Linked DNA regions of Ovis aries. The protein of the gene in region 3 interacts with the protein of the main gene of each other region in a biochemical or structural test. Links are inferred from orthologs where the notes say so. Each region holds a gene or a part of one and is shown on either strand. Other genes may lie near its edges.

Region 1 (3,500 bases), on a different chromosome or scaffold from region 3:
CCCTGTCCTCCATGCCCCGGGTGCCCCCGTGAGTATCACCGCGGGGTCAGACCTCACAGTGGGCCTGGCCCCAGAGGAGGACCTGACCCCTCCCCCTGCTCGGGGGCCCCAGAGCCCAGACTGACCCAGCGATGGCCGCATCATGAGCTCCGAGGGGGGCGGGCCTCAGTGTCCCAAGAAACAGGCCCCCCTCTCCTGTTCCCCTCCGGCTGCCCGCCTGGTCCCCAGTCTAACCTCAGGCCCTTTCTTGCTAGACTTCCTCTTGAAGGATGCTCTCTTTTTCTTCTTGCTGGCTTTGAGGGTGTTCTGCGAGGGAAGTGGAGGTGTGGGTGACACGGTGGTTGGAGCTGGGGTGGCCGGCAGACCCTGGGGGTCGCGGGGGTTGGGGCTTCCTAGCGCAGGTGGGGCTCACCTGGGGCCTGCGGGCCCGGAGGATCCAGGTAGGGGGGATGACCACGGCGGCGTGGACCCCCAGGGAGCACGGCTCCTCGATCTGCTGCAGCATGAAGCAGGACACCTTGCTGTGGTACTGCAGGGGCGGGGCGGCGGGGGCGTGGCTGAGCTGGGCCCGCGAGACCTGCAGCCCGCACCCGCGCAGCCCTGCGGGACAGCCAGCGGCAGGGGAGTGGCACTCACTGCTTGCTTGCACCAGGAGCAGCTGATGGCCACGATCTCCTTGCTGTGGAAGGTGAACTTCTGCTGGAAGCCCTAGGGGGCAGAGGGTGCTGAGGGTCCCCGGGGCTGGGCCCAGAGCAGCAGGCCCAGCCCCTTCCTGCCGCCAACGTCTCTCTACCCAGGGCAACTGAGCACTCTTTTTTTTTTTTTTAAAGAAAAGAACTATAAAAGGAGTCCCTAGAGTCACGGGGGCTGAGCCAGGCTGAGTCTCTGAAGTTAACTGCACCATCTGCTGGAAAGGGGTCCATAGATAACTCCTGCCTAACTCCAGTCCCTCCTTCCCAACCCAGGCTCTCAAAGCTCTGTGCAGTAACCATCACAGTCATTCCCTATTTGTCCTACACAGGTTTATCACAGGGCCTACTGTGCCGGACGTGCTGGACACTCAGGGTGGACGGAGGGAGGAGGGACAAGGCCCCTAGATCTCTCAGAGCCTGAACTTACTGGGCGGTGGGTGGAGGGGACAAGACAGGTCAGTGAAACCTGGGCTGCTGTAGGCCGTGCTCACACCCGGCAGGCCCTCAACGTGCATCGGCTGAGCTAGCGAGGGAAAAAGCCTCCATGCTTCTTGAAGGGGTTGCTCACAGCTTCTGAGCGGTCCAGACACACTGCTCTCCCGCTCTGCCCAGGGACCTGGGGGTTCTGGGATTGAGTGGGTGTGGCAGCCAGAGAGTGGGCCCAGGACTCCGCCTGCGGTCAGGGGCGGACGGGCCACACGTGGCCGTGCGGGGCCGCCAGGACCAGGGCCAGCTTGCTCAGGCGCAGCCTCACCTTCCCGCAGTGCCGACACTTGCCGTCCTGGCGCCGCCGGTGTACCCAGTGGTGCCGCACGAAGGTTGGCTGGCGGAGGAGAGGAGCGGCACTGGGCTGAGCGATGGGCAGAAGCCCGGCAACGCTCTGGAGTCACTGCCGAGGGTCCCGCTCGGGAAACCCGGGGCCCTGACCACCCCCGGCACTTACCTCACGGACGTTCCTGGAGCCCGATTCACGGAAGGATGGCTTACAGCGGAAATTTATCTGTGAAACGTGCAGTGACCACCGAAACGTCAGAACCGCCCTTCATGGGGTCAGGCACGTGGCCACCCCCTTCAGAAGGTGTCACTGGGGAGGCATCCCCACAAAGGAGGGAGAGGCCCCCCAGCATCCTGGGAGCCCTGAGAACACCAGACACCTCTTCTCAGAGGCCCTCCAGCATCCCTCCTCCTCTCCACTAGCCAGAAGGAAGCTCCCTTCCGCTGCCCAGTCTTCTGGGATGAGGGAGACAGCAAGTTCTGTATCCGTCTTCCCCGCTAAAATGGCAGCAAGGCTGACCCATCCTGTACTCTTCCTCGCTCTCCAGCTCTCCCAACTTAGGCACCTGCAGGTAACCCAGTCCATGCTTGTGGACTGGTCCCTGGAGACCGTCAGCCCATTTGTGGAGCCCTGGTTTATCACCTTAGGGGCTGGTGTGACGGATCTACAGGACCTAGGGCTACAGGCGACTCTCTTTGCCTCAGGGCCCCTGCTTCAGCCCTAGGGAAACTGCACTGTATGAGATGAAGAGGAGGGGAAGCCGTCTGCGTCAGCCTCGTTCAAGCCATCCCTAGTCCTACAGGATTTCTCTTACACTGGCCTCGGCTTCTGCTGGTGGGGAGTCCTGCGGGGCCACGGCAGCCTCCCAATCCATAGGCCTGGACCCACTCACCCAGCTGTCCTTCTCCCTCCCTCCCTAGAAGCGCCGGGCCCAGACGCGCCCCTAGCTGCAGCCTCTCCGTGGACAACGGTCCCTGGGAAAAGGTCTTTACAGCCGCACCGTGGAGGGGACAGAGCCGGGCTTCAGGGCCCACACAGGACTGGCCCAGACAGAGCTGAGGTACGAAGGCTCAGCGCCTTCTAACTATTAGTTTGGGAACTGATAAAATGGCATCTCAGCCAGCATTTGTGACTTCGTATAGTAACAGTCTTATGAGCCTCGCTCTGTGCCAGGCTTGTTCTGGGCAGCGGGACGCAGCAGCAAATGAAGGAGGAGCCGGGATGCAGATGCAGGCCCTGCAGCCCCTGGGTCCTTGGCTTTTTCACCACTACACACACTGAGGCACCCCTGGCCAGTGGTGTCTGTGTGACGTGAACACGCGTGTACAGAGACCCGTGTAGGAGTGCCGTGAGGGCTTCAGCACCCCAAGGGGGAGGGGCAGGAAAGCCTGAACAGCCACGCTCACCTTCTCGAGCTGCTCGATGCAGGGCGTGTGGACCACAATCTTGCAGGCCGCACACTTTCTCCGGGACACTGATTTCTGCTGCGGGAAACAGAAGGTCCCTGAGGCATCGGGTAACCCGGGCCCGGGTGCCGCCCCACGCCTGCCCCAGCACAGCTGCGCTGGGAGAGCACTGCCGAGCCCTGTCCTCGCTTCAGGACCCAGTCCTGTCCCTCTGGCTGTCAGGGGGCAGCCCCCTGCAGGGCGGCTCAGGCAAGAGCCTCGCTCCCACCTTCCCCTGGGAGGGCAGGCCTACAGGGCTCGAGATCCGGCTCCACCACCAGGGGGCGGCGTGCCGCACCGCGCTCACTCACCAGCATCTTGGCGACGCAGTACTGCTCTCCGACGTAGCAGAAGTCCCCGGACACGTTGGTCTCGAACCAGATGTGTTCCCCATAGGTCGCCGACTCCTGGAGGACGGGACGAGCACGCTCGGCGCACGCCTGCTCTGCCCCCCTCCCCCTCTCCCAAGACAAACCTGCTCCAGCCCCCACAATCTACTTTGCTGCATCCTGTTTTCACCACTGTTGGCTTCAAGGCTTGGCCCGAACGTGGCCACCCTAGATCTGCCCTGACCCCACAGGTCCATGG
Region 2 (3,500 bases), on a different chromosome or scaffold from region 3:
TCAGTTTTCTTACCTGTAAAACGGGGATGATAGTAATAGTAACCTCCTTCTTAGCGTTCTTATTACATGGATTATGAGATAATCCATATAAAGGACTAAGTGATAAATCTGGCACACAGCAGGTGCTCATTAAATGATGGCACTATTAAAGATAATATGTCATAATATTAACAGTCTCCCCCGCCTGAAGTTCAGGGAGGATAGGTGTTCTGGTGAATTCAAGGCTGTCAGAGCACACTATTGCTCTGCCCCGGGTGTTCCCCTCCCCACCCGGGCTCCTGTGGTCCTCACCAGCAGTAAGGTCTGGTTGCAGCCCTGGGCGTAGAGTTCCTCTGGCGAGGGGATGACAACCCCTCAGCTCTGAATATGCTGCCGTCCACTGTCTCCCTGGGTAAGTCTTACCCCAGCAGGTAAGCACAGGTGCTCTGTGATTGGGTCATAGTCAGACTGTGGGTCCACCTGGACCTCAGACTCTGCTTCTTGGACCACAGCTCAGCAAGGAGCGGGTGGGTTCTCCCTGTCTCGTGGCCCAGTCTAACCTGCCCTTGTCCCTTATCACATTCCTGATTTGAGAGTCACTTGCAGACTCCTGATACTCCCAAAGGACAAGGGCGAGGGAGAACCTTTTGAAGGGTTATTAGAGCATTTCAGAGGAGCTTAGAACTTAGTGGTTCCCCAGTCTGGTACCCCCAGACTTACTGGGGCCAGGAGACTTTGAATGGTTTTCTAGAAGTCCACATGATCCCTTAGCGTATCGGCTGGTAGATCAGGGCTGGGGTTGAACAGAAGTTGTCACGGTGGCTCCCAATCAGTTAATAATAATGACAACAAATAGTACTTAGAATTAACAGAGCCTTTGCTATGTGCTGGGGCTTCCTTGGTAGCTCAGCTGGTAAAGAATCCACCTGCAATGCAGGAGACCTGGAGTCTATCCCTGAGTTGGGAAGATTCCTTGTAGAAGGGAAAGGCTACCCATTCCAGTATTCTGGCCTGGAGAATCCCATGGACTGTATAGTCCAGGGGGTCACAAAGAGTCGGATATGACTGAGCGACTTTCACTTTTACTTTTGCTATGTACCTGGCACTTAAAGTAGATTTTATAGATTTCATGCTATTGACTTTTGTAACAATCCCTTAAGGTATGGGTCATCAATCTCATTTCACAGGTAAGAAAACAGATGGAGGTCAAGGAACTTGATCAGAGTTATTTTCTAAGACTTCAAAATTTATTTTGCCTTCCCTCTGATGGACCTTCACCAAAACAGTATTTATTAAGCAGCAACTAATTTGTTCTGGGTGTCTAAGCCAATTGAGTTTACATAATTCCAGCCTGAAGCAAAGAAACATAACCTTTTCGCTTACCTGTGCAGTCTTAAAATAGGTCCATGCACTCATTTTATAAAGATTTTTAAATATGGAAAACAAAAAATACCCCTGATACCCCTGATGGCACCTTCAAGAAGCCGGTACCTCAGGTTGCATGGACCCCAGTTAGAAACCATTGTCCTGAGGGTCAGAAACTACCCCCAGGTTCCCACCCCAGTTCTGTTCCTCTGCTTTCTGCCCAGCACCTAGAGACCTCAGACTGGCCTGGCAAGGGGCAGAGAAGCAGAAGGAAGCTGCAGTGTGGGTGAGGTCCCTGCCATGGCAGCAGACTTCTCAGCCACCAATCTGTGGAGGGAAGGCAGGGGACTCTGGAGGCCTGGACATGGTTTTAGCATCTGAAGAGGGCAAGTCCCCCTGTTGGTTTCCTGTCCCAGCCCCCACCTGGTTCCATGAGTCCCCAAGAGTCCAGAGATCCCCCCCACTCCCTTTGATAGCATTTGTCCCTTCCCTGAATCTCCCCAGCCCCAGCTCTCCCAGCGCCCTTCAGGGTGGTCCCTGGGCCACACGTCCTCATGTCCCATCCATGCAGCGGCCACACCTGCCAGTGATCACTTTTGTGACTATGCAACTGGAGTGAGAATACTAGCTGCAGATCACAAAAATGACGCTGGCAGCCGTGAGAGAGAGAGAAGAGGGAGGAGACAGAGAGGGGAGACAGACAGCAACGGAGAGACAGAGACATGTAGAGAAAGAGAGAGAGGAGCGGGGAGAGAGACAAAGAGAGGCAGAGTAAATAGGCAGAGATGGGAGGGAGGTGGAGGAAACAGCTGAGAGACCGAACAGGGAGGGGTGCAGAGGGGGGAACTGTCGATGGAGTGGGGGAGTGAGAACCATGGGAGAGAGCTGAGGGGGAGAGGGAGGGTGGAGGCGAGAAAAGTGGGAAGGAAGGGAGGGAAAGAGGGAAAGAAATAAAAATAGAGGCAAAGAGACACAGAGGGTAAAGAAGAGGGAAGGCAAGGGTTAGTGAGAGAAAGCAAGGGGACAGCAGACATAGAGACTGGGCACCAGGAAACAGGACAGGAGGAAATAGACAGCAAGGACCAAGGAGGAAGAGAGGAGAGAGGGAGGCGGCTACAAACAAGATGAGCCTTTCAGGGTATAGGGGGGCGGAGGGAGAAGAAGGTTATGGAGGAAGAGTGGGAGATAGAAAAAGAGGCCAAGAGAGAGGGAAGAGGCAGCCAGACAGCAGAGAGAGCAAGCAGTCAGGAGCTGGACCACAGCAGTGGACGGATGGGCACAGCGAGACAGGGCGTCAGTCCTGGTTTGGGGGGTGGTGTCCAGAAGGGGATGCCGGGAGGTCAGAGTCAGTCCTGGTTTGGGGGTGTCTAGAAGGGGGCACCAGCGGACCAGAAGCTGAGGCTCCAGGTCGGGCGAGAGGGCCTGCCTCTCCTGACCAGGGGCCCCAGGAGGAGCTGATGGGCTGCGGGGAGGCTCCAGAGCCCGGCTCCCGGCCCCCTTGCTCCTGGGCTGCTCTCTCCCGGGCTTCTGGGAGCCTTCTTCGGGCCGCCCCACCGCCCAGGGGTGCCCGCTTACCTGCGGAAGTCCAGGAGGGGCCGGGTGGAGGCCGGGGTGCCCTCTGCCGGCCAGCTGAGGAAGTGGAACTGCGTGAGCGTGCGCGTCTCCTGGGTCTGCACGTTCTTCAGGTAGAAGCTCCGCACTAGGAAATCCTCGCACCAGATGTGCTCCGACACCAGGTTCACCTGCGAGAGTGGGGGCGCAGGCCTGAGCGCGGCAGGGCCTCTCCAAATCCTCCCGGCCTCCCAGGACAGTCAAGAAGCTCACTCAACTGTCCCCAGGAACCCTAGCCATCTGTGTCACTTATGGATTGCTCAGGACAACTGGCGGCTTCTCCATCTAGACACAGCGGGAGCCTAGCTCCCCGACTAGGGATCGAACCCGTGCCCCCTGCAGTGGCAGCTCGGATTCTTAACCATTGGGCCCTCCGGGAAGTCCTGTGTGTTTCCTGGAATCAGTTTCTCCTTCCTCTTTTTGCGCAAAGACTAGCACAGTGTCTGTGCTACACACACACCATAAACTTTGATAAAATTTTGTATTTTCATTTGATTTTTTCTTTAACCCCAAGCGGGACCAATTTTTAAAGCTTAAAAAGAAAA
Region 3 (4,040 bases):
TACAGCTTTGCTTTGCCTGGGGGTGATAAAGGTTGCCTAAAATTCCCTGCACGCACCACAAAAGGGCATCACTGTGCTATGTTAAACTGTGCTATGTTAAGGTAGTTTTTCAAGTTTTGAGACATCAAATGGAAGGATCATTCAGTTCTAAAACTCTAAGCATAAAAATCTATCTTTTAAAAGTAGCCTTCCTGGATGGGTCACTAGTTCTCAATTTTAAACATTTGACTGATTCTATGAAATCACTGTTTGCAGTGGTTCTGCATATTATAAGCAATTTTATTTTTATATCCTTTGATTTTTAAAGTTCAGTTTCATACCTCTCCACACATATAAGAACAAAAATGTCTTGTCTTTTAGAAAATGGGAAAATAAGGTAGAACCTGTGTTAGGTAAACAAACATTCACTAAATATTATGCTGCCATTTGTAAAGCCTCCTTCTAAAAGCACATGTGGCCTATTTTAGGTTAATGAATACTATGAAGTGTTTACTAGATGATTTTTATTTAAGTGGTATGAATACCACGTTCAAATTATATCTAAACAAAAACTAGATTTAAAAAATATAGATATGGGTTAAGAGCTGAAACATCTGCCCATCACCACTGAGCACCACATAAATAGTACTACAGTCAGTATTCTGGCTCTAAGAATTTATAACCAAATTCTTAGCTAGCACAATTTCAAGACACACATTTATGGCAACTCTTTCTTTTTTTACACACATACAACCCACATCGCCACAATTTATAATTTTACTCCTTTTATTAACACTAATTTCTGAGTAGTGCCTAGCCCCACCTAAGTGAAATATAAATATTTATAAATAGGATATTATAAGGTGGGAGACTGGAATTTCACAATTAGAGCACATTAAAATATTTACTTGGAAACTAACACCTTCCCAAATGTTTACTAGCAGATTTAGGAAAAAGTGAAAATCACTTTGCCAAGCTAGACTTCTGGCCTCTCAGTCAGTTTGATGACTGGCCACTTCCTACCTCCACTCCCCACCCCTTCCCTTCTGTTCTTCCTCTGCCAGGAATACCCTCTTGACTCATCCCTGCCTATGTCCATCACTTCCCTGGAGACCTGGCTCAAGACTCAGCTTCTTGAAAAACTCCTCCCTGATCAAGCTGATTTCCACTACTTCCTAACTTTGCACTCCCTTGGTATTCATATAGTTTGCACTCCACAATCTATAATTTGTAAGTTGTTTTGCATTTTTCTATCATTTTTCCAACTAGACACCAAATAGAGACACATCATCTTTTATATTCTCTTCTGTATTGTCAGCAATAAATGCCTCTTAAATGACTGAATGGGTGAAAGAAGGCTGATCACTCAAAAATTTCTGAAGTAGTATTACCTCCAACATGCATGAGTCCTTCAAGAAGATAAAATTTATTTTGCCTTAGTTCCATAAAAGACTCAGGTAACAGATCACACTCAAACTTAAAAGAATAATCTTGACTATTCAAACGTGACTTGAGATTTAACACTTCAGGCTTCTGAATTTAAGCTTAAAGCCTTGAAGCCTGTGAATGGTAGGAAGCTGGCACCCCGTCTCCTGCAAAAAGGGGCAAAATTCTAGTTGACAGTAAAAGTTCAAACACGTGAGCCTCCACTGTTAAACAAGGCTCATTAACCACACAAACTTGCTGTTTCAGCTTTCTGGCTTCGATGAAGTGCTATGATCTCCTTTGGTTATTGTTGAGAGCCAATGATGGGTTAAATTCCCATAAATTAACCAGCGTTTTGGTGGTCTGCCCAAGCATACCGCTGGCATCGGTGTGGATGAAATTTTTTTTTTTTTTTTTTTTAACAGACCTGCCTGGCCTAAGAAACCAGAGGTGAGTGAAGAAAGCGCCACTCAGGAGGCAAACGGAGACCTTCAGAAGTCCTGTTCTAGTTCTTAGTGTCAGCTTAGCGTGCAGAGGAGGGGCTTCAAGCACGGCTGCTCCAAACTAAAACCTTCCTAGGGGACTGCAAGCCACACTTCGGCGGCAGCCCAACTTTTCCTGCAGGGAGCATCAGTTTTTCCATCTCCAAAGCCCCAGCAACGGGGTTGTGGGGAAGCCTGCCGCCAGCAGAGGGGAAGGTGAGGTCTCCGAGTGGGAGGGAAGGGGCTGGCCCCGCAAAGGGGGCAGGGTGGCAGAACAAAGTGAGCGCCGGCCAGCCCAGCCCAGCGCCGCCCGCCCGCCGGCCCGGCTCACCCTCCAGCAGCACCTCCTTGCCCGCGCGCTTCAGCGCCTGCACGGCCTGGTCGTGGGTGGCCTGGCGCAGGTCGGTGCCGTTCACCGACAGGATGGCGTCGCCCAGCCGCAGCGCCCGGCTCTGGTCGGCCGCCAGTCCCGGGAAGATCTTGGAGATGAGGATCGGCATCCGGTTCTCGCGGCCGCCCTTGATGCTGATGCCCAGGCCGCCCGCCTCCTGCTTCACCACACGGACGCGGCGCACCGGCGGTGACGCGCCCGCCTCGCCCGCAGGGCTCCGCGGCGGCGCGGGTGGACTCGGGGGCCCCAGGCCGCGGCTCGGGCTCCCGGGCAGCGAGTCGCCGGCGCCACCGCCGTTCGGGAGGCCGTTGAAGGCGGCCGCCGCGGGCCCGAGAGCGGGCTCAGACTCAGCCGCCCCGGCGTCGCCCGTCAGGCTCAGGCTCTCCCCGCTCAGCTCGGCCACCACTCGGACCCAGCGCTCCCTCAGGAGCAGCTCCACCAGCCCCGCTTTGGTGGCCCGCGTCCACACCGCCATGGCCGGCCCCACTCCCGCCGCCGCAGTCGCCGCAGCTACCCTCATTCCAGTCAGGCAGCCTCGGCGCTTCCCCCTTCCCGCCCGTGGGGGCGGGTCCGGCCCCGCCCCCGGCGGTGATTCATTATTCATGAGGCCACGCCCACCTTCCGGAGGTGAGGGGAGAGGACAGCCGAGCAGCTTCCGGGAGGTTAAGGAGTTGCCCGAGGTCCAGTGGGTTACAGTTCACCGGACGTGGGCAGCTCGCGTGGTTTGGGCTGTCTCACGTTCTCCCTCGTACGCCTCCGATCTTCCCACTCCCAGCTCCTGACTTCTACCGTGCAACTCGCCAGAGCTGCCTGGGCACAGAGAGTAAAATCAGCTTCGAGAGGCACTTTGCAAGCCTGCAAGACCCAGTTGCAGGTACACTTTTGCATTGATTGGTTTACAGAACGCTCCGCCAAGTGTGCTCCTTTTTGAGGCCTGGAGATGAGATGAATAAAATGCACCACAGCTGAGAGCTGAGAGTCTAGTTGGGGAGGAAAACAAAGAGAATCAGCTAACCTGATGTTATAGTATGTGGTGAGTGTCAAGTACAAAATGCCCTGTGAGCAGATGAGAACATTTAGTTGGGTCTGGGGTCAGCTTTATAGAGGTGACAATGAAACTCAAAAGTCAGAGCATTTGTCACTCTGCTTTGTAATCCCCTGTTTACTTGCCAGTAATGTCAGAGGAAAAATATCTTTAGCCCCGCAGTCACGATAGGTAGGTCTCAAAGATATCCGTAAAATGATGGTTACTTAGGGAGATGCCAGAATCCAATGTCAAGAGAGGATAGGGTCAGTGGCAACGACAGTATACGAGTGTAAAACGCCGAATATAACCACATATTTGGAAGTGTTTGGACTTGAATTTGTAGATCTGACTTTCTCACCCTGGAGGCCATGGCCTTATGTTAGGGCAAGTGCACATGGGCCTCCCCAGAAACACTGCACAATGTAGGGCCTGCAGCGGTTTTTATCCAAAGATACAGGTGATACAATCCACTGGCTTCTTACAGTTTCATGGGCTTGAAGAGCAGAAAGTAACACATTGTAAAGCAATTATACTCAAAGGAAAAAAAGACACTGCTTTAGTAGAATGGGGAGAATAAATCAGCTATCTCACCTTAAAATTACACAATAAAAGAAGAGCTGAGGAAACTGAGACCCAGAAAGTCAAAGATTCTGGCCCAAAGCTCACAGTGAAGAAAGACAACTCACGTCTCCCACCCTCCTGGTCCAGTGCTTTTTTTTTAAAAAAAACAAACAAA

The links.
Region 1: the proteins of SNTB2 (region 3) and DGKZ form a complex in vitro, tested with the Homo sapiens proteins (2 studies listed by BioGRID and IntAct, with this or other methods). The link is inferred for Ovis aries from reciprocal best matches to the Homo sapiens genes SNTB2 and DGKZ.
Region 2: the proteins of SNTB2 (region 3) and PTPRN form a complex in vitro, tested with the Homo sapiens proteins (2 studies listed by BioGRID and IntAct). The link is inferred for Ovis aries from reciprocal best matches to the Homo sapiens genes SNTB2 and PTPRN.

Annotation. Positions count from the first base shown.
Region 1 is NC_056068.1:75,295,872-75,299,371, reverse strand, and holds part of DGKZ (diacylglycerol kinase zeta), read right to left. Parts: intron 3,320-3,500; coding exon 3,224-3,319; intron 2,952-3,223; coding exon 2,874-2,951; intron 1,693-2,873; coding exon 1,636-1,692; intron 1,516-1,635; coding exon 1,447-1,515; intron 709-1,446; coding exon 637-708; intron 530-636; coding exon 413-529; intron 307-412; coding exon 235-306; intron 1-234. UniProt on the Homo sapiens protein: Diacylglycerol kinase that converts diacylglycerol/DAG into phosphatidic acid/phosphatidate/PA and regulates the respective levels of these two bioactive lipids.
Region 2 is NC_056055.1:221,238,996-221,242,495, forward strand, and holds part of PTPRN (receptor-type tyrosine-protein phosphatase-like N), read right to left. Parts: intron 3,087-3,500; coding exon 2,920-3,086; intron 1-2,919. UniProt on the Homo sapiens protein: Plays a role in vesicle-mediated secretory processes. Required for normal accumulation of secretory vesicles in hippocampus, pituitary and pancreatic islets.
Region 3 is NC_056067.1:35,945,380-35,949,419, reverse strand, and holds the start of SNTB2 (beta-2-syntrophin), read right to left. Parts: upstream 2,801-4,040; 5' UTR 2,798-2,800; coding exon 2,218-2,797; intron 1-2,217. UniProt on the Homo sapiens protein: Adapter protein that binds to and probably organizes the subcellular localization of a variety of membrane proteins. May link various receptors to the actin cytoskeleton and the dystrophin glycoprotein complex.